Linked DNA regions of Caenorhabditis elegans. The protein of the gene in region 4 interacts with the protein of the main gene of each other region in a pairwise test. Each region holds a gene or a part of one and is shown on either strand. Other genes may lie near its edges. The genes, in order: syx-18, caap-1, Y71F9AL.25 and xbx-6.

The links.
Region 1: the proteins of xbx-6 (region 4) and syx-18 interact in a two-hybrid assay, tested with the Caenorhabditis elegans proteins (one large-scale study listed by BioGRID).
Region 2: the proteins of xbx-6 (region 4) and caap-1 interact in a two-hybrid assay, tested with the Caenorhabditis elegans proteins (one large-scale study listed by BioGRID).
Region 3: the proteins of xbx-6 (region 4) and Y71F9AL.25 interact in a two-hybrid assay, tested with the Caenorhabditis elegans proteins (one large-scale study listed by BioGRID).

Annotation. Positions count from the first base shown.
Region 1 is NC_003283.11:6,652,519-6,658,392, reverse strand, and holds syx-18 (t-SNARE coiled-coil homology domain-containing protein), read left to right. Parts: upstream 1-2,943; 5' UTR 2,944-2,944; coding exon 2,945-3,047; intron 3,048-3,303; coding exon 3,304-3,500; intron 3,501-3,548; coding exon 3,549-3,706; intron 3,707-3,760; coding exon 3,761-3,897; intron 3,898-3,941; coding exon 3,942-4,405; intron 4,406-4,452; coding exon 4,453-4,641; 3' UTR 4,642-4,747; downstream 4,748-5,874. Other genes in the region: snb-1 (Synaptobrevin-1), read left to right, coding at 1,922-2,038, 2,172-2,384; T10H9.8 (EF-hand domain-containing protein), read right to left, coding at 4,748-4,881, 5,227-5,368, 5,823-5,874.
Region 2 is NC_003280.10:13,213,536-13,218,298, forward strand, and holds caap-1 (Cactin_mid domain-containing protein), read left to right. Parts: upstream 1-2,556; 5' UTR 2,557-2,560; coding exon 2,561-2,701; intron 2,702-2,756; coding exon 2,757-3,167; 3' UTR 3,168-3,229; downstream 3,230-4,763. Other genes in the region: btf-1 (BTAF (TBP-associated factor) homolog), read left to right, coding at 1-261, 1,413-1,753, 1,802-1,898.
Region 3 is NC_003279.8:2,885,972-2,890,377, reverse strand, and holds Y71F9AL.25 (Clathrin light chain), read right to left. Parts: upstream 1,479-4,406; coding exon 1,023-1,478; downstream 1-1,022. Other genes in the region: Y71F9AL.7 (Ovule protein), read right to left, coding at 2,024-2,578; arx-1 (Actin-related protein 3), read left to right, coding at 3,971-4,406.
Region 4 is NC_003283.11:9,702,204-9,708,971, reverse strand, and holds xbx-6 (Protein lifeguard 1-like), read right to left. Parts: upstream 3,617-6,768; 5' UTR 3,613-3,616; coding exon 3,504-3,612; intron 3,172-3,503; coding exon 2,999-3,171; intron 2,950-2,998; coding exon 2,855-2,949; intron 2,810-2,854; coding exon 2,719-2,809; intron 2,663-2,718; coding exon 2,523-2,662; intron 2,230-2,522; coding exon 1,954-2,229; exon of another isoform or gene 1,885-1,953; coding exon 1,878-1,884; 3' UTR 1,848-1,877; exon of another isoform or gene 1,632-1,847; intron 1,440-1,631; coding exon of another isoform or gene 1,433-1,439; 3' UTR 1,145-1,432; downstream 1-1,144. Other genes in the region: tag-120 (Transmembrane BAX inhibitor motif-containing protein 4), read left to right, coding at 1-14, 66-156, 693-1,115.

The DNA.
Region 1 (5,874 bases), 3.1 Mb from region 4:
CACCACGAAAGTACCGTATTTGAAAGGAGAACTACTGTACTTAGGTTCTCGGCATGGTACGGGTTTCGAAATTTAGCGATACGCAAACATGAAACACTATAACGTTTTTGAATTTTGTTCAAATTAGTTTTTGAAAATTTTTCGGAATTACTCTCGATTGTAAGATACCAAATCAACTATATGTAGAATCCGTTAGGTTCTACGCGCAATTATCCCAATTAGGGCTGTACAAATCAGCGTCCGGCCGTCTGATTTTGACACCACCGGACGCACTGCGTCCGGTTTTGGGGTAGGTTTCCACGGCGGCCGACAATTTCCGAGTTTCGCCACTCACTATACTTAATCAGCAATTTTATAGTGAGTCGCGAAACTCGGAAATTGTCGGCCGTCGTGGATAGCTACCCCCAACCGGACGCATGTGCGTCCGGTTCGGACGACCGGACGTCCGGTTGTACAGCCCTAATCCCAATAAACCTGTATTCCTGTGTTTGAGTTTAGTATAATCGCTTCGTTTACTTATTTTTTTCAAAACTATTCTCGGTAAATACTACCTCCCTAATTGTGTTTTTGTCTGTACACAATACAACAGACATTCAATTTCCTATCTAGCCATCCCCCAATCTTCCCTGTTCTGTTTTCTGTCTGTGTCTTTTTTGTTGTCAGCTGATATGATGGACTGAGTCAGCACTTTTTTAATATTGTTTTTTTTTCTGAATTTCGTAACTTTATCTTGGTTTTTCCGACATTGTTGCCCATAGTTATTCTTGCATTCTCCAACAACACAGAATGATGAATCGCTGCCACATTTTTTTGACAAATTTATTGTTCAGTTCGGGTATCTCAGCAACCATGACGTGTGTTCAAGTATTTCATTTTTTCTCCCTTTCTAGGAAAATTCAAGTTGAATTTTTATTCATTTTGAAACTTCCTCTCATCTCTCGAAGATATGCCTCGGGCTTCAAATTCGTAGTCCACCCGTTGCACGTAACCTGCTGAAAACTTCCTTGTATTCAGTTCTCTCGTTTCGTTTTGTCTGCAAAAGAATTTAGCTCCATTTGTGTGAAATCGAGCAAAATCATGCGGCTAGAGAAAATAAGAAAAAAAAACGAAAGAGAACTGGAGCGTGTGCATGGGACATTCTCCTTTCTTCGCCTTATTCTTCGTCTCCCATTATTAGTTTCGCCTCCCACAATTCTGGCTGCAAAGCAATAAAAAGTGGCTTCGTTATTTGTCTGGAATGCGTCCCACTGTATGTGTTGTCTTCTATTTAATACAAGTTATAACCTCCACTCGCTTTTTTTTTTATTTTTTGACTGCCTCTTGGTAAAAACGTAATCATACAACAGCAGTGAAAACCAGTTTTTTGAAAACCGTCCCGTCATTTTTTTTCTATTTATCATTTCAATTTATTTATTAATCGATGATTGAAAGTGAATGGATGACGGTCATGACCGATTATCGATTATCCCGAAATAGAGATGCGCGTAGGTCATAATGCCCAGTACGCAAAATGTTTTATCGGTGTTTGCACAGATTTCGCAACATCTCTCATTGAATTTCCATTCATCGCTTCGTCATCTGACCCCATTTCTTATTTTTTCATCCTTTTCCCTGTTCTCATCGTTCCTTACTATTTTCCTAATTTCAGAACATCGCGATTTTATAATTTCGTTAAATATTCGTAATCCCGTTATACAAAAATAGCTAAATTTTCTAGTCGTTCTCGTTTTTGAGAGGGCACTTTAGTCCGTCATCGTGTCGCTTGTCGTGCTCAATTTTTCATGCATAAATGGGCGTCGCCGTCCCCCCTGTCGTTTTCTTCCTTTACCTCACTTTCCAGTTCTGAATTCCGATACGAATTTTTAAATTTTTCTAACTCGCTTCATTTCAGGGAACAGCCGGATAAGACCATCTTGACGACATGGACGCTCAAGGAGATGCCGGCGCACAGGGAGGAAGTCAGGGCGGACCACGACCATCCAACAAACGTCTCCAGCAGACACAAGCTCAGGTTGATGAAGTCGTCGGAATCATGAAGGTAAGATTTTGAAATGTGCAATTAAAATAACAAAAATCGCAATTTTTGAAATGATCCCATTTACAATTTATAAGCGTGTTAAATTAATCTTAATTCCCCTTTTTGCAATAAAATCACGAAAAATAGTTTTCAGGTGAACGTGGAAAAAGTTTTGGAGCGTGATCAGAAGTTGTCTCAACTGGACGACCGAGCTGACGCTCTCCAGGAAGGTGCTTCACAATTTGAGAAATCTGCGGCCACCCTGAAGCGCAAGTATTGGTGGAAGAACATCAAAATGATGATCATCATGTGCGCTATCGTCGTCATTCTTATTATCATCATCGTTTTATGGGCTGGAGGAAAATAAGTACACGACCTTTGTCCCGGATAAAAAAATCCCCCGAAACGCTGTAATTTCTTTCCCCCAAACTTCTTCCCTTCACATTTTGCCCATTTTCATCTGTTTTCATTTTCTAAAACATAGAAGCTGAGTATTCTATTCTTATTTTGAACTTCTTCTCTTCATTGTACTATAGTTGAATTATACGTTTCCCCCCACATCCCCATCCAATCTGTCAATTTTCTTAATATTCTTTTTCTGGTTGATCGCAAATCATCCATTTCTGAAATTAATTTATTTAGGCGGCGCGATAAGCTGCGTGATCCCACATCCACATGAGCTTATCCGCGGATTCCGTCGAGCTCGTGTGTGTATGTTTTTCTAGAATTTTCCTATTCTCAGACTAACAACATGCCTTCTCATTCCCCCCGGAAATTTACCCATTAGATGCGAATAAAATGGTGTTGAAAACTCAAAACTGTCAAAATTTTTGAATGGATTGAATGATTGTTGTGTAGATATTCAGATTTAGATACTTGAAAAAAAAACAATTGTTGTTTAAATTTAGTGGGCCTGGTCTTTTCAGAATGACGATATTTCAACCTCCATTTATCGATCGATCACAACAGTTCAAAGAACTTGCCACATCAATCGAGCAAAAGCACATTAGACGGCACAATAAGCCACCGGGTGAGGAAGAATTTGGATAGAATATTTAATAAAAAACGTTAAATATCGGATACTTCAAGTTTTTTGACACATCAACAAATCAGAAAAAAAATTCTGCAAAAATACCATTTAAGATTTTTTATGGAATATCCTTTAACAAACTTTTCAGATAAACTCGTTTTTGCCATAAAACTTTGAAGCGAAATTATTTTGATGATTTAATTCTAATTTTTATAGTTCTAAAAACATTCCAAAAATGAATAATTTCAAATTTCAGGAGACTACCGTCGTGATGAAAATCGTCCATCTCCAGCATTCACCAACATTTCGAACGTGGCTCTTTCGTTTGGCGCTGAAATGTATCTCTTCCGTAAAATGCTCGCAGATCACTCACAGGACTACATTTTCGCCAGTCGTGCCTATTCTAAAATGAGCCCGATGGAACGAGAGAGCTTTGATGAAGATGTGAAAGATGTTCGCCTGAATTTTTAAGATATCTATCATTTTACATTCGATATTCAGAAACTTACTCAGTTCCATTCAATCAACGTGCAGCTCGGACATCGTGTGAATAGCAGTGATGGGCTTCGAAATGCGACTGAAAGAAGTCACCTTTCACGTGTTCAGGAAGGATTGACTGTTTATTTGAAACAAATTATCGCAATGGTTTCACTTTTAAAGTATGCAAAATTTCAAATTTCCCTCTGAAAATAAGTAAATATCTTAATTTTTAGAAAGGAGCATCTACAGCGACTCCACGCGAAGAGCAAGTCACAGAATCTAATGAAAATAGCACAAGAGGCTGGTCACGTTTACAAATATCACCGTGGTCTTGAAGAACTTGTTCATGGCTCAGAGCTTGAATTTAGTGGTGAAAATTGTTTTTCTTGTAAATATAAATTTTAAAAATTTCAGACAAGCTTACTCACAAACTTCGAGAGATTCAAGCAAAGCACCCATGTATGCAGTACATTCCGGAAGAAGTGAACAGCGATTATTATTTAGTTGAAGAAAAATCAAATGTAAAAATTCAAAAAGAAGATCTGCTAGATGGAGAAGACGCTGGTTGGGATGGGATTGACGAACTTGATGTTCTGATTGTTCCACAAGACAAACCAGTACAAAATCGTGCGTCTCCGATTATTTTTAAAGAAGAAGTTCGCAATAGGCGTCGTGATGTTGGTGGTGGATACGATGCGGAACGTGAAAGTTATGAGAAGTGGCGAGATGAGCAAGGAGAGCAGTTTGCCGTGGAATTCCAACAACAAGCTGAGCTTCGAAAGAAAGAGTTTGTAAAGGAGGATCAGGATGACGAGATTCTCAAGCTTCAGCAGCATTTAACGGAGATCGCATCTTTACACACGGTGTTTTCAGAAAAGGTATTCGCAAATTTATTTTCAAAATTTTCAAAACCAATTTATTTCAGGTTTTGGAACAAGACCGTGATGTTGAATTAATACACGATCATGCTTTACATACAACCGAAAACATTACCGACGGAAATGAATGGATTCGAAAAGCTATCACAAACTCTGGAAAACAGCGAGCATTCCTTCTATTTTCAATTGTTGTACTTTCGTTCGCACTTCTCTTCATTGACTGGTATAACCCCTAATAATTTTTTGGAGATAATTCGTATTTATTACATTTATTCTGTGGTCTACAACATGTTCAGTCTGGTCTTGTTTCATAATCAAAGAAAGTCAATAAATTTAGTGCATTCATGTAGACACTGTTGTCGCACGTCCAACGTTATTTGTTGAAGCAGGTTTTGTTTTATTACCGAAAACACCCACGAGAATTTTCTCGACACTTCCTTTTTCAGTTAACCAGTTCTTTATCAGCTTGCGGTATCCTGGAAATTGAAAAAAAATTTTGATGTTTAGTTGTACAATTGAGTTTTTTTTAAATTTTAAATTTAAGATTGCCCATTTTCTAGAAATATATAATTTATCACTATGGTTTTTCAACATTATGGGTGTTGAAGCAGTCTTAAAAGGGATACGGTACGTTAAATTTAGTTCTTATGAATTTTCACTAAATTCGTTTCGTGTCCTGTAGGATTTCGCTATAAACGTTGAATTTGTTTTTTCAATGAAATCCAAATTAAAATACCGTATCTGTTTCAAGACACATGCCATTCATAAACTTTCGCTCGTGCTAAGACACAAAACTGATCGAAAAAAGTTAAAAATCTCACCATCCACATCAACAGCCCCTCCACTGTGAAAGTTTCTATCGATAAATTCAATGCCTTCTTTGCTCATTTTATTCGGATGACTTTCATAATATTCTCGTATTTCTTTTGTCGTCACCAAGCCATTGTGATCCATATCTCTGGCCTGAATTTGAAATGCTATACAGTAATTTTAGAAAAGCCAAAGAGTGATTTCAAATGTACAAGCCGTTTGGTGTATTACACAGACGCGAAAGTTTGGCATTTTTGCGCTAAAAGTACGGTACCTGGTCTCGACGCGAAGTTTTTTTGTTAATTTTGTTAAATGTAATTTCAAAATAGTATCGCTGCTCAATTTTTGCAGACTTTTTCGATGAGAACAAAAAAATAAAAACTCATAAACTTTAACAAATCGTTAGAAAAAACTATGAAAATTGATAAAAATTCCGCTGCACCAAATTTTGGAAATTACAGTAGTTTTAAAGGCACACACTTTTTTCACATTTAACAAACATTTATCGTGCCGAGACCGGATTGGCGCAAAATTCACAAAACTCCTGGAGGTCATGGTACATTCTGGAGACACTGTTAACTATTAACTATTATTATTATAAATATACCTTAAACTCGTTCGTTATGACGTCATCTAGTCGCTGATCTGCAGTTTCACTA
Region 2 (4,763 bases), on a different chromosome or scaffold from region 4:
GAAATTTGCAAGAATCCAGATGAAGAGGTTGAGCAGCCGGAAGATCTTGGAGGATTGGTGGCTTCAGGTCATCGAGCTCTGATTTTCTGCCAATGGAAGACTTCGGCAAAGCTGGTCTCTGATGCTTTGAAAAGTGGAGAATTCGGAAGTGTTGTGTCGCATCTGGTCCTTGATGGAAGTGTTCCGGCAGGGGATCGCATGAAAATGGTCAACCGCTTCAATGAGGATAAGACGATTGATGTGTTGATTCTGACGACACATGTAAGAAAGATTTACGAAATAAAATATTATCGGAGAAAAAATTGACAAAAAACAACGCGGTTTCACGGACGGAAAATCTCAATTTTGGAGTCACGTTTTTTCAAAAATTTTTTTTGAAAAATTGAAAAAAACTAGTTACATTTTAGTTATTAAAATTTCAACTTTTAAAATGAAATTTTTCACATAAAATTCAATTCAAAACGGATTTTGCTGAAAATTTTCCAAAGAAAAATTACGAAAAAAGTGATATTTTCAAAAAAAAATCGTTCAGTGTTTCATCAACAAAATATCAACTTTAAAAAATTGAAAAAAAAACTTTAAAACTTGAAAATTTCAAGTTTTTCAAATTTTCTAGATTATAAAAAATGTATTTAATAAAATATCAAATTTTAAAAAATTTAAAAAAAATAGAAAATTCGTTTTTTTCTCAAAAATTTGTTTTTCCAAAAAAAAAAATCTCAAAGCAATTTTTTCTGGAAAAAATTATTTTTTAGATACACAATACTAAAATCAGTTTTTAAACAATTAAAATTTCAAGTTTTTCAAGTTTTCAAAAAAAAGCTTCAAAAAATTTATTTAATAAAATATCAACTTTTAAAAAGTAAAAAAAAAGGAATTTCGCTAAAAATTTGTCAAAAAAAGGTGAAATTTCAAGATAAAATAATTTTTTAAAAATCTCCGAGTCATTTTTTTGCTGGAAAAATGACTTTTAGATTTTTTAAAATTATTTTGTTAGAAAATTTTGCAAATACGAAAAATATTTAGAAAAAACAATCTTTCAAGTTTTTCGAATTTTCTACAATTTTTTTAACAAAAAAAAATACAATTCAAAAAAAGATTCAAAATTCTCCAAAATTCTCGCAGGTTTTCAGAAATTAAATAAACTTAAAAGTTTTTCTTTGCCCAAATTTTTTGTTAAAACGAACAAATGTTTTTTTTTTGTAAATTTCTGACAAATTAAAAAAAAGTGCAAAAATTTCAGTGAAACCCAATTTTTTTTCTTTTCCAATAAAAAATAATAAAATTTAGTCATTAAAAAGACAGATTTTTTGAAATTGAATTTCGTTTTTTTTTCTCGCAAAAAATTAAATTTAAAAACCGAAATATAAAAATTCAAAAAGTTCAGTAAGACCCCGAAAATTTTTGTTCAGGTCGGTGGAGTTGGTCTGAACCTAACCGGAGCGGATACCGTAATCTTCCTGGACCACGACTGGAACCCGATGAAGGATCTTCAAGCCATCGATCGTGCTCATCGTCTCGGCCAAACTCGAAATGTCAACGTATATCGGCTCATCACACAGGGAACAGTCGAGGAGAAGGTGATGAGCCTGGCAAAGTTCAAGCTGAATACGGCCCAGGCTTTGATCGGTGCCGATAATACATCAATGATGACAATGGAGACGGGAGAATTGATGAATATGTTCACGTTGGATGGAGATGAAGCCAAGAAGAAGCCTGGCGGTGGTGAGCCGGCAGCGAAGAAGAGTAAAAAGTTGGTTTTTACCATATATGACTTTTCTTTAAAATACCATAATTTCAGATCCACCGGAGCTCCCGAAGAAGTCGATTTGGCAAGTATGTGGGACGAGAGTCAATATGACGATTTCCAAGTGGACAGCTTCCTCCGAAACACCTAAAAAACATTCATAATCTGTATCATTTTTCTAAATTTCCACACGAGTATCATGTTCGTTTCTGCATATTCTACTCATTTTTGTTTTAGAATTTTCTTGAAATTTCTTTTATCAAATATCATAATTATTATTAGGTATTACCGATTTTTCCACCGTTTTTTCGTTTTTTTATGGGTTCAATTTTTCTCATCTTTCCCTTGTTCCTCTAGTTTTTGAAATCTGCAACATTTTTTTCAGATGCTCTCTCTAGTTGTGAAATAAAATATTAATTGATTAGAAAATGTATTGAGAAGAATTGAATTGGATTCCGTTTTTATTTTCGGTTAATTTTTTAATATCGCCATCATTTTTGTGCAAAAACTATGGTGAACGGTCTCGACGCGACAAATTTTTCTTCAGCTTAAAAATATATGCGCCTTTAACGAGTACTGTCGATTTTTCATAGTTTTTAAAAACAAAAACGTATTTTTAATTAAAATTTTTTGAAAATCGTGAGAAAATCTTTGAAAAATTGAATTAATTCCGCAGCAGCGAAGTTTGAAGTTACAGTACTCTTTAAAGGCGCACACCTTTTTCGTATTTATTTAAACATTATCGCGTCGAGACCGGGTACCGTACTTTTGGCAGACAAAACTATAATTTTCCAAACTATAATTTACAGAAAAATGCCGAACACTGCCGACCAAGTGGATCCACTTCTCGCCTCACTCTCGCATTTCGTAGATCACACGGATTTGCTCGCCGAGCACACGATGAATGCTGTCGAGTGGGAAGCTGTCGAGGTGCTGATGCCACGAATTCTACGGGTACTTTGAGACTTTAGCTGGAAAATTGAATTTTTAAAAAATCAATAATTTTCAGGGAAAATCGAAGGAAGACGTAAAGCAGCTGCTGTTAGCAGAGATTGACGGAATGTCTAAAAAGAGGTTGGATGCAGTGTTGGCTGGAGAGACACTGGAAGAATCGTCGAGCTCTGAGGATGAGGAGGAGCAAGTGATTGGCTCCGCTGGAGAATCGGAAAAATCTGAAAGCCCAGAGATCCCTGAGCCTGAAGCCAAAATGGAGGAGCAGGCTGTAGAAGCTGCAGAAGCTTCTGAAGCTTCAGATGATGGAAGAGAGGACGGTGAAATTAGAGATGATCAGGGAAACACGACGTCAACACCGCCTGATCCAGGATCCCCAAAGTCACCAGAAAAGGGAGAAGCCGAGCAACTGGACACTGATGAGGAGATTGATCGGCTGCTGGAAGAGGATCTTGAAGATTTTCTCTAAATTTTTTTTCTGTATTATCCTGTAACATTTACATCTCTTCTGACGAATACACAATTTCTTATATCTCTCTCTCATCGCCATCATCTATAATTCAATTAGGAGCAGCATATTCATGATGGGACCCGTGGCGCCATTTTTTGGAGCATTTTTCACTAAAGTCTAGGCAATCTCCCTCAAAATGAGTTCGAAACCAAAATTTCAAACTTTTAGTTTTTTTTTTTTAATTTCAAAATATGCATTCATCTATGAATAACAGGAAATGAATGTTCCTGGTATCCAAAGTCACGGGGTTTTTTGTTGCAATTTCTGTTTGAAAACCAGGTTAGTCACGGCGGAAAGTTCAAGTCTAGACTTTGAACTATTTTTGATTGGAACATTTTTGTTTCGAGTTTATTCGGGTTCATGGGGATTAATGAATCGTGTTTGGTAATATGCCAAAAAGTTTTGGCAGATTGCAAAAAAAAATTGGTAATAAGCCACAAAAGTTTTGGCACGGTAGCTGCTCTTGCCAGGACTCAAATTTACATTGGATTTTACGCAGAAAATGTTTTTTCGATGCTTATTTTCAGAAGTTCCTGTTTCCAAATAAATGTGTTTTCGACCCAATTTTCTTTATTTTTATCCGTTATCAATCATAATCAAAAATATGGAACCCAAAATATAGATAAAACGTCGACAGCCTTCTGGAAAACTGAGAAAAAAGTAGTTGTCCCTTCCCATCCATTTAACAATCAATTATTCAAGCGCACGAGAGGTGTGAATAATTAGTTACGTATAGAAGAACTATATAGGGTGACTCAACAAGGTCTCGCATGGAAAACAAATTAAATAGATTGCTCGAGGTGTGTATTGTTTTGCTTAGTTTTCCAGAACCACCATAAACTTAGATACTGTCTTCTTTTTTCGAAATTCTGAGTCACAGCCATGTGTCGATTTACGCAGCTCGTGTACTTTATAAGGAAAAATGTGAAACCTTTTTTTAGATGAAAAATAATAGACTCAGAGAGACCAAGTGATTCTTTATCGGAAACAAATTCCTGTCATAATCCAATACAAAAAGGTATTCCTTATGTATTATTAGATTCTATTGTTCGCCACAAAATGACTAATACCGAATATTCTTATTCCTAATAAGAGAGAGCATGGGCTCTTCTTTATGTTATTCACCCATTTTTATCAAATCTTTCTTCTCGATTTCCCATGGTGATTATATTGACGTTTTGTTTTGACATATATCCTCCTTTTTAGTTTTTTTTCCACTTTTTCCAGCATTATCTGTAAATCCAATCAATTCTCGAAATCTTGAAAAATAGGAAAGCTATGTTTGTTATCTTTTTTGACGATTGACTCTATTAAATTCTTGAAGTTTAAACTCCTAACACTTTGGTAGGAATACTGTCTGGGTACTGCCGGAATCACATTACTACCGTACCACTATAGTAATCACATGATAGTTGTTAGGTGTGACGTGATTGCCCACAAGCTACACATACTACAAACTACACAAATATAACATTTCAAACTATAGTAAATTTGGAAAAAAACACACTCAATTGTCCTTTGAAAATTTTTAAGTTGCAGTTTTGGTCTCCTCGG
Region 3 (4,406 bases), on a different chromosome or scaffold from region 4:
AATAGGAATATTTGCTATATGGTATATATGATGTATATGATATATATGGTATAAATGGTATATGGTATATATGATATATGGTATACATGGTCTATGGTAGATACGGTATATATGATATAAATTGTATATATGATATATATATGGGATATGGTATACATGTTATATACAGTGCATTTTTTTCCACTTCTACGACTTCAAAGGGAAGCGCTTTCATGCGGTATGGTCTTGACGCGTCTTTAGTCATCATTTTTAGCAGTTTCTGTGTAAATTTCGTATAGATCACAAAATATTTATATCTTATTTTGTATTTCTGTAGCTTTTTTACTCTGATCTACAAATTAATTTTGATCTACGTGTGATCTATACGAATTTTACACAGAATCTGCTAAAAATGATGACTAAAACCGCGTCGAGATCAGGGGTGTGCGGCGAATTTGCCGAGCACGGCAAATTTCAAAAAAATAGATTTGCCGCACACCCCTGGTCGAGACCATTTCGCATAAAAGCGCCTCCCTTTAAAGTCGTAGAAGTGGAAAAAAATGCACTGTATGATAGATATGGTACATAGTATATATGATATATGTGGGAGGATATGGTACATGTGGTATATGGTATGTATGATATATATGAATATATGGTAGATTTGGTATATATGGTATATATGGTATATGGTATTTATGATAGATATGGTATATGGTATATGGCATATATATATATTTATATAACGGGACCATGAGATCATCAGAATGCTTACTTTTCTGGCGGCAAATTTCTCGAAGCGAAGGGACCTGCGTCTCTCTTCGCCATATGCTCTCTCGCTGCCGCGGCCTGCCAATATTTTTGCGCCAGTAAATAGGCATTCTCATGATCTCATGGTCCCGTAATATATGTATATATATATATATATATATATATATTAAATACATATGAATATGGAATATGCCAAAAAATAATATATTTATTAATTTATATAAATATATGATTAAAAGCCAAGTTTTATTCAAATCACTTCAGCTGAAGCTTCAGTTATTCCGATTTTTGTCGAAGCAAACACAAACTCGCGCATCATACAAACGATAGTATCTACAAATGAGTGGAAAAAGAATGATGAAGGATAGGAAGAAAAATGATGGCCAGAGAATATACACTTCAAAAAACCTAACGCTGGATCCCATATTTTCATCGGAATTTCTCCGGGTCCTCCTAAGAAATTGCTTGTCTCTCCTGACCTTCTCCGCTATTTCATTCCAATCGTCGGTCCAAAATGAGCCTTCACGATTTGGATCCAACTCTTTATTCGCACGAAAAACTCCTCTCGCCCTTTCAATGTAATCCACTGCGGCTTCCATCTCGAGATATCTTTGTAGTTGAACATTGTCGTCTGTGAATTCGCCGTCCAAGTCGTCGAATCGAGATCTTGGGTCTTCGGAGATGTCAGTTGGCGGAGAGCAAGAATCGGTGTAGAGCGGCTTGCCCATTGTGGCGTCGGCTAGCTGAATGAGGGAAGAGGGCATGGTGTACACGAAGACGTCGATCGATTGTGTTATTGGTGCCACGCCTATAGAACCGTGCCGCAAAATTGCAGATTTTGAACCATCCGCAGGGTTTCAAAAAGCGAGGGAATAAGGAACATGGTGCATCGACTGGGATCGACGGTTGTCTTCGATTTTACAGAGATGTTGTCAAATGACAAAAAGTGTGTTACGTGTTCTTCTACAATTTTGTAGTTGACAATTCACTCGTATCTGCAAAATTCGTGTCGAGACCCATAGTGGTGCGTAACAATGTTATCGATATTACTACGTATTTTTGTGGTTTGGAGCTAAATAATTGCATTTTCGCAACCCTTTCGCCAATTTTTTTCGTGAAAAAACGTGTAATTTTACGAAAAATTGCGCGCATGGGTTGCGAAAACGCATTAACCGCACGGTTTTCGGTGGCACAGAACACAGTAAAACCCATTTATTGATTGAAAATTTTATTCAGTCATATCAATGCAATCAGAAAGCTCTTGAAAAGCGTCCTATCGCATCGGGAAGCACATTACACACAATATCGGTACTATTCGAACGATGATCGTACACAAATGCGGTAATATCAAGAGGAAAAATGTCAGTAAAAGGTGGCATATAATAATGAAATTGATGAATGTGCTCTCATCTTTGAATCTCGGAATAACGGGAAACCACCATACTTCCTTATCGTCGATATTACTGTCCGTGTCCTCTTCGTCGTCGCCATCATCCTCGTCGCCATCCTCATCGTCCCAATTCAAATGTCTATCAGGATTCCTTCGGTGTCTTCTCAAGAATCGCTCGTCTCTTTTGAGAACGACAGCTATTTCATTCCATTCTTCCGTCCAAAATGTGCTCGTACCAGTTGGATCCACTTCCAGATTCGCCTGATAAACGCCCATCGCATTCTCAATAGTCTCCTCGGCGGCTTGCATCTCCAAATAGTCTTCCACCTGAACATTGTCTGCATTGAAATCATCGTCGAATTGGAATAGAGATCTCGGGTCCTCGAAGATCTCAGTTGGTGCGGCGGAGCAAGAATCGATGTAGAGTGACTTGACCATTGTAGAACACCTGAATGAGGTGACTGGTGGTGTGCAATGTGCTCACGCGAATATGTGCATCGATTGCTATATTATGACGTCATAGAAGGAGACAATGAGCTCTCATTAAAACCATTTATTGATTGATTAATAATATTAATAATATACAACGATAAATCATAAAACAAATATTTAAATCTAACAATTCTCCTTCCGTCGCTGCTCATCCAACTCCTTCTCAGCTTCAATCACCTCCTGTTGGATCCTCGCTCGCTCCTTCATCTCGGTCACAAATTGCCACAGTTGAGATTCTAAAGCCACATTTTGAACTGATAGATCGGCATCCTTCTCGCTATCAGTGAAATGGTTACTAGAACTCGAATCCTCGTTAGATTGGCACATGTTTCTGTGTATTTAGACACAATGACGTCATGTCGGAGAGATTGGTTTTGTCTTGAGAGACGCAGAGATTGGCAATTAGGTCATGATGGTTGGTGTGTGACGTAATTGGTGGAGTTGGGAAGCTGGGGAAATTGAGATTTTTAGAATCTGAGGTTTAGGCGGCCTATGCCTGCATGAATGCTCCGGTAATACGCCGATTTGCCGGAAATTTTCAATTCCGGCAATTTGCCGATTTGTCGAATATTTTCAATTCCGGCAGTTTCACGATTTGCCGGAAATTTTCAGTTCCGGCAATTTGCCGATTTGCCGGAAATGTTCAATTCTGGTAATTTGTCGATTTGCCGGAAATTTTCATTTTCGGCAAATTGCCGATTTGCCAGAAGTTTTCAAATTCCGTCAATTTGCCGATTTGCCGGAAATTTTCAATTCCGGAAGTATTCCGATTCGCAGAAAATTTTGATTTTCGGCAAATTGCCGATTTGCAGGAAATTCTCAATTCCTGCAATTTTGCGATTTGCCGGAAATTTTTAATTCCGACATTTTGCCGATTTGCCGGAAATGTTTAATTCCGACATTTTTGCCGATTTGCGGAAATTTCAATTCCGACATTTTGCCAATTTGCCGGAAATTTCAATTCCGGCAATTTGCCGATGTACCGGAAATTTCAATTCCGGCAGTTTGTCGATTTGCAGGAAACTTTGGTGTTCGTCAAATCGGAATTTGCCGGAATTTTTTAAGCTTCGGCAAATCGGTAAATCGCCGGAAATTTTCAATCCCGGCGATTTGCCGACTTGCCAGAATTTTTCAATTCAGGCAGATTGCCGATTTGCCGGAAATTATCAATTCCAGCAATTTGCCGATTTGCTGGAAATGTCCAACTCCGGCAGTTTGTCGATTTGCCGGAACAAATGGCCATTTTGTAGAATTGCCGAAAATAATTATGCTTTGAGTTTTAGAAAAATTGACAAATTCGAGACTCCTGAGACTTCTAGCAATTTTCAAAATTTGCAGGTGATCGATTCTGGAGACGGAGTAACCCATTGTATTCCAGTTGCCGATGGCTATGTAATCGGTTCCTGTATCAAACACATTCCAATTGCCGGCCGTGACATCACCTATTTCATTCAAAGTCTGCTCCGTGATCGTGAGCACACAATTCCAGCCGAGCAGAGCTATGAGGTGGCGAAGATGATTAAGGAAAAGTTCTGCTACGTGTGCCCGGATGTTATGAAGGAATTTGTAAAGTATGATACGGACGCGGCAAAGTGGCTTCGAACCTACGATGGAATTAATTCGATTACAAAAAAACCGTTTAACGTCGACGTTGGATACGAGAGATTCTTGGGTCCTGAAATCTTTTTCCATCCAGAATTCTGTAATCCAGAATTCACGACACCAATCTCTGATACAATTGACACACTTATTCAACAGTGTCCAATTGATGTTC
Region 4 (6,768 bases):
TATTTCATTGCGATGTGAGTTACAATAGAGTTTTGATTATCTTCGAATGATAATATAAATTTCAGAATTGTATTTTTGGTTGTTGCAATTGCGTTGTCTTGCTGTGGTAATTTGAGAAGGCAATTTCCAGTCAATATCATTCTTCTCACTATTTTCGTAAGTTTTTAAGTAAAAAGGTTTTTAAAAAGTGGTTTTTAGTAGGAAGAAAATAAAAACGTTACAAAACGTATTGTAAGGTTCTATCACATTCCAAAAACGCAATCATTATTTTAGAGAGTCCCGGGCCGCTTTAAATTCTATTTTCCTAATTTTAACCACTAAAATCACGTGGTGTCAGGCTGTCCCATAACGGCTTGATCTACAAAAATGCGGGAATTGTTTCCCAAAAATGTGACGTCAGCACGCTCTTAATGATGCGAAATCAGTTGAGAAGTCTGCGTTTAAATTCCCGCAATTCTTGTAGATCTACGTAGATCAAACCGACATGGGACACTCTGACACCTCGTGGACAATAGTTTTTTTTCTTTAAAATATATGTATAACCATGAACATTCTTGACAAGATAACTTCAATTTCTTTCTGGATATTTCAGAATTCTTAATGTGCTTTGAGATAGGGTAGGCTACGGTAGGATTGCTGGAAACATGTGTTAATTTTCGTAAAAGGAAATCTAAAATTATTGTATATTTCAGACTCTCTCGGCAGCAGTCATGACAATGTTTGTTACTGCTTGTTATAATGTTCAATCAGTTTTAATTTGTCTATGTATCACCACAGTATGCAGTGGATCAGTCATTATTTTCTCGATGAAAACGAAATCAGATTTGACGAGCAAAATGGGAATCGCTTTCATGCTTTCAATGGTTCTTTTCTCATTTGGAATCTTTGCACTCATCTTCACTTTGGCATTCAATTGGCAATTCCTTTATTCCGTTTATTCTGGACTTGCTGCTCTTTTAATGATGTTCTATTTGGCTATTGATGTACAACTTCTGATGGGTGGTCGTAAATATGAATTATCACCAGAAGATTACATTTTTGCTGCGATGGAAATCTTTTTGGACATTCTGAATATCTTCCTGATGCTTCTCAACATCTTTGGAAGAGGTCGTTAGATCTTTTCACATTTTTATATGTTTTATTGTTTGCTGTAAATACATGTTTTATTTCATTCAAAAATATATATTAAGTTTCATTTCACAAATAATTACGAGTTTAAGCGGGAAAGTAGCGAACGAGACATCTTAAACAACAGCAGTTTTCGTTTCTTTTTGTTAGAAATTTTTCGGGGTGAGGGACAGAGCAGGGGACAGGCAAAGAAGAACAAAGTGAACTACCAGTGTGTAAATTAGGCATGGAATCTAGTATAGAACAGAAAAAGAAGAAGGAATTGAAGAATCGAGAATCGATGAAGTCGGGTGAAGGCCGTTGTTTAGTCGCTGAAAAATACAATAATTAGGTTTACAAGTTGATAAAAAGCTTTTCACAACATAGAAACTGAAAATTGTTGCTTTTATCAACCAAATGATTCACATATTATCGAAAAAATACGATCGCACAAATTTCTCATAATTTATTTTTGATCTACCCTGTTGACTAGGCTCCTCCCCTTCCTTCGACAAGACAGCCACAACAAAATAACAGCGGCAACAAGATTGGGGGAGGAGCCTAGTCAACAGCGTAGATCAAAAAAAAATTATGAGAAATTTGTGCGATCGTATTTTTTCGATAATACACATTCATTTAAATTGGCACAATGTTACTAATACAGCGTTAGTGAACAATGACACAAAAAAATCTAAAAAGTAAACGTGCCTTTTGAAATACCACAAACTCAACCGCCTTACCACACGAAATGTGATAGAGAAATAGAAGATTCAGTTTCTGGAAATAACCAGAGGGTTTATTGAGAATGTCTAGCTAAATTTCAAAGTTTCCCAATGAATTTCTTACCTGGATCCGAACAAACTGAGAAGGAACCAGAACATCTGGACAATGTCAATGAAGATTTGAACAGAAGCAAAAATATATTCTTCTGGTGAGATTTCGTATTTCTTTCCTCCCATCAGCATTTGAACGTCGAGGAAGAGGTAGAGCATCATGATAAGAGCACCACCGAGAGCATATACCATCATCAAGAACTTGATCTTGAAGAACATTGAGCAGATCACGACAACAAGTCCGAAGAACATGAAGCACATTGAGATGATTAAGATATATCCCATGTGGCTGAAAATTTAGTATTTCGGATATATTTTTTGAAGATCAGTGGTTATAAATTATTCGTCATCATTCTAATTTCTGAACTAAGTTTAGTTTTTGCCAATTTTGCTATTTACAAAAATTAATCTGCGTACATCTTGTCAGAACATATTTAATATATTAAAAATTAGTTTCAAATTCGACTAAATAACCTAGGTACCTTAAATTTCAGAAAATTGGTGCTTGTTAGAGTATAAATCCGCTTATTGCAGGTTTAGCACAGCATTTGAAAAAAAGATTTGATTTAAAAAAAAACTTACGCAGTCAAATCGAATTTCGTCTGAGAGGCGACAATGACAATGGAGAACGTACATCCAATGCAGATCGCCAATGCCAGAAGAACCACGTTAGCATCATGATGAGCTGAAATGACCATGGTCATAACTGAAGTTGCTAGAGTCTGAAAACGATTTTTGGATTGATAAAGGGAAACTTGTTATATTAAAATGAACTTACGAAGATTCCAGTGACAATCAAATTAACTGGGAATTTACGACGAACTCCTTCACAGCAAACCAATGACAAGTAGGTAACGAAGAAGATTACACTGGAAATATTAAATATTAATCAAGATTTCAATTTATGTACATACTAGGACCCAAGGTAGAGAGCCGAATTTCTGCGGACCATTCTCATCGTATCATCATGAACCCACGGGATAACAGTGACTGCGGCAACGATGCAAAGCTAAAATTTTTTGAAAATAGATTTAAAACTTTTTGAAAGTACTACTTACCATGATAAAGACCAAACTGAAAACTTTTCGAACGAAAGCAGCGCGGACAGTCTTATCAGAAAATTGGAATGAATACTTTCCATCTGGATTGTCTCCACCACCGTGTTGCCCATTTTCCATCTGATTGAACATAGCTCCGTGCATTGGTGGCGGTGGTGAGAAATAGGCTCCACCTTAAGAATATTGAGGTTTTGAATCGTTTTAAAACAGTTAGTTGTGAAAATATAATTTAATACGTTTCAATGTAAAATTTTTGAAAAAAATCCACCTTGCGCATTAACAAATTTTGTCGATTTTTTTTCGGGTTTCCTTTGGTATTTCGATTAATGACGTCACATTACAAAAATACAATTAAAAAATGATCAAATTTATTGATCGAAGAGCTAGTTGCTAAAAGTTTCGATATCTTCTTTACTTATTTATTTTGGAAGTTAAAATATTCTTAATTTATGTCTAACTTCTGATATCGCTGACTTTTTTATTTTGTTTTTAAAAAATCTCTCACCTTGATTTTGATTTTGTCCGTCGCCTGTATTGAATCCTGGTGGCGGAGGGCCTTGATTGGGGTAGGGATTCTGATAAGCCGGGTTGTATGGCTGTTGATTGTACGACATATCTGGAATTAAATAATATTATTGAAACGAAAATACAAGAATAAAATGTAGTCAACAAGTGAGATAGAAGCAAAAAAGTATAGAATTTCATGGAAATGGCAATTTAAAAAGTCCCAGTTGTTTATCACATTACTCGAGTTTCCATGGAAACATGGTTCTCCAGCTCACGAGGGGAATTTCTCGTCTGTTTTCAGACAAATTCTAGTAGCTAGAGAAATGTGCGTCAGTTATAGGAAGAAATAAGATTATTTTAAGGCTTAGAGGGAAAGTCATATCTAGATTGAAGGATTAGAATGGTTGAGAAGATGAAAATAATTTGATTGTTTTCAGGAATGAAGAATTTGTCATATTTTAGTTTAAAAAGATGAGCTTCTACAGATTTAGTATTAAAATTGTGTGTTTTATACTGGTGCTCGGATTTTTAAGAAGACAAAATATTATAGAAAGATTTTCAGATGCAGTTACAAATAACTCAAACTCCGGTACTTTCTGGTGTTGCTAGAGCACGAATTTTTAGCGTTCGAGCAGAAAGAACGAATGTACTCATATTTGTCGATAGGAAAGTAAATACGCTCAACGTTCTTCGTTCGAAAACTGAGACGGGTATTATCTTTCTCATTCATGCCTAGACTTCAAATAAGTAGAAAAACCAAAATGCAGTGGAAGAAGAAGACGTGTGATTTCGCAACAGAATGGCACGTCTTCTTCACTTTCACGAGAATGCAGCATCGGGCAATTGTGATGAGATCTCGTTGAGAGAAGAGACGCAGTAAACTGACCAAGGCTTTGGATATCTGCGTCTCTATTGTTTGCAATGGTCGGGGTTTGCCTCGTCAAAAAAAAATCGATGTCGACCAGAAAACAAGAGTTTTAAGTAGTTCTCAATATAGAGCATCTATTCAAAAATGTAGGTTTTAGTTTGAACGGTGACTTTTTTGTATTGTCGGAACAAGAACGACGTGATAATCTATGAAAAACAGGAACAGAGAAAGCAATGAAACGTTGTCTCTCTTTTACTCGCCAGGTCAAACAAAAAATACAACGACCTCGGCCAAAGGAGAGAAACAAGAGAAACGCATGTGTTGATGCTCGAAGACCACTACTCTTTTGAAAAAGCAGTGAAGCTTAAAAGCAGTGTTTCACATCTAACACTGGAACATGAATCGAAAGAAAAACTATATCATAGAGATATAGAAATTTTTAAAGTGAGGGAACAGTTGTATAGAATGAAAAATGTTGAGTCACCGTTGAGAGATCAAGAAATCTCTGTAGAAAAACGGAAGAGATGAGGAGAAAGTGAAAACATCAAAAGTTTGAACAAAAAATTTCATCAACAATAGTGAGATGATCAATAAGTTAAATGCTAACAATCTCGAAACTTTTACATAATTTACTAAGTTTTTCTAAGCTTAAAAAAATTCCAGACGATAAAACAGATTACAAAATCCAAAATTTTATTAATTTTTTAAAAACTTTGTATGATTTTGATTCCCTACGGAAGACAATAGAAGGGAAATGAAGAGAGAAATCGAAAAAAGCGTGAAAATTCATCGCAGAATTTCTACAGTACACTTAAAGGCGCATGCGTCAAAAAATAGTTCGCGGGGCGACACCCAATCGCGCGCTATCGTGCGTCTCCCTTGAAAGCCGTACAGTAGGCTTGAAACTGGTTCAAATATATTAAAAGTAGTTTGTTTTTTCGTTTTCGGAAATAAAAAAGCTTTTGAAATCCCCTACCATTATCAAGCTTGATATAAAAACGATATTTGTTGGAATTCCCGTTCCAATACATTTCGCTGAAATTGAAATAAACTTTCATTTCAGTTCAGATAAAGTTTGAAAAAGAACACGTAAAAATATTACAAAGTTCTATTTTTTAGGTTATATATATAAAAATAACAACACGCGTGTGCCGTTCGGTTCGATTTTTAAAATATTTATAAACGATTATGGACCGTTTCATCGAACAAATTGGAAGTTTTTTAAATCTAATCTATTTCATATTTACGTAATCTAGGAAGATAAAGGAGAAAAAACAGGATTGGTTACTGTATGTTGTGACTTCTATCGTAACTAATAATAGGCTAAGTTTAATATTCACAAAGAAACTGTTTGCGTTTTTAATTCCAAACTTACCATTATTCTGTAACAGTGGGCCTTCGGCCTGATTAGGATGAAACTGTTCATTGCTCTGTTCTGAAAATAAAATAATATAAACATGTTTCTTATAAATTTATTCACCTGCTGGAGCACTAATACTTTTTTCAGCTGAAATCTGAAATTTCGTGGAATTACGACAAATGCCCTGAAATTTAAACAAAGATAAATGTGAGCAAGAGAGTCGAAAGAAGAAGAGAAAAAAAGCTTATTTGTTAATAGTCATTCGTCAGGCAAACATGAACAGTTCTTTTCGCTTTTTTTTTCAGCTTTTCAGTAAGTGAAGGTGCCCTATAACTTGTGAGATTTCTGTTTTATTCTGTTCTACTTAGTCATACGAGAAAATTCTGTTAAGATCATGGAGAGTTTCAAAATTCAGCGAGTTGCATCTTTGTAGTCAGTTGAATATAAGTTTCAATTGTATAGCCGTAGATATTAAACGTTTGGAACATCTGAAAATAGTTCAGAATGACATTTGGTTTTCTCACATTGCATTTTTTGAGCTTAATGTAGTCATTCCGAAAACAACTAGATCAGAATCATATTTTGGCAGTTAAGTTTTTGCATTTTTGGTTTTTAGCAGAGAGTCAATAAAAAAGTACTTAAATTCTATGGCTTGAACATTGAAAATTGCTTTTAAGAACATCGGCATTTCTTGAGTTAATTGTTTTCTTAACTTTATTCTTATATTGTATTCTAAACTTAAGTTAGCAGAATCCATACTTCAAACTCGGATCACGCCTGAACAGTTTTGGTAACTTGTGTTGATTTACAAAAAATCTAAACTTATATAGTTTGAATTCCACCAAGTACAAGTTTATGATGAAACCCAACACATGTGTTAACACATAAAATTTAAAAAAAAACCTTAATGGCCATTTTATCAATTTCGAATGAATTGATTGATTTTTCCTTGCTAGCTCTAAAGCATTATTCAGTTTAAAATAACAAGCAGAATATGAGAAACAACATTACATTTAGTTTATTAATCTTTCAAAA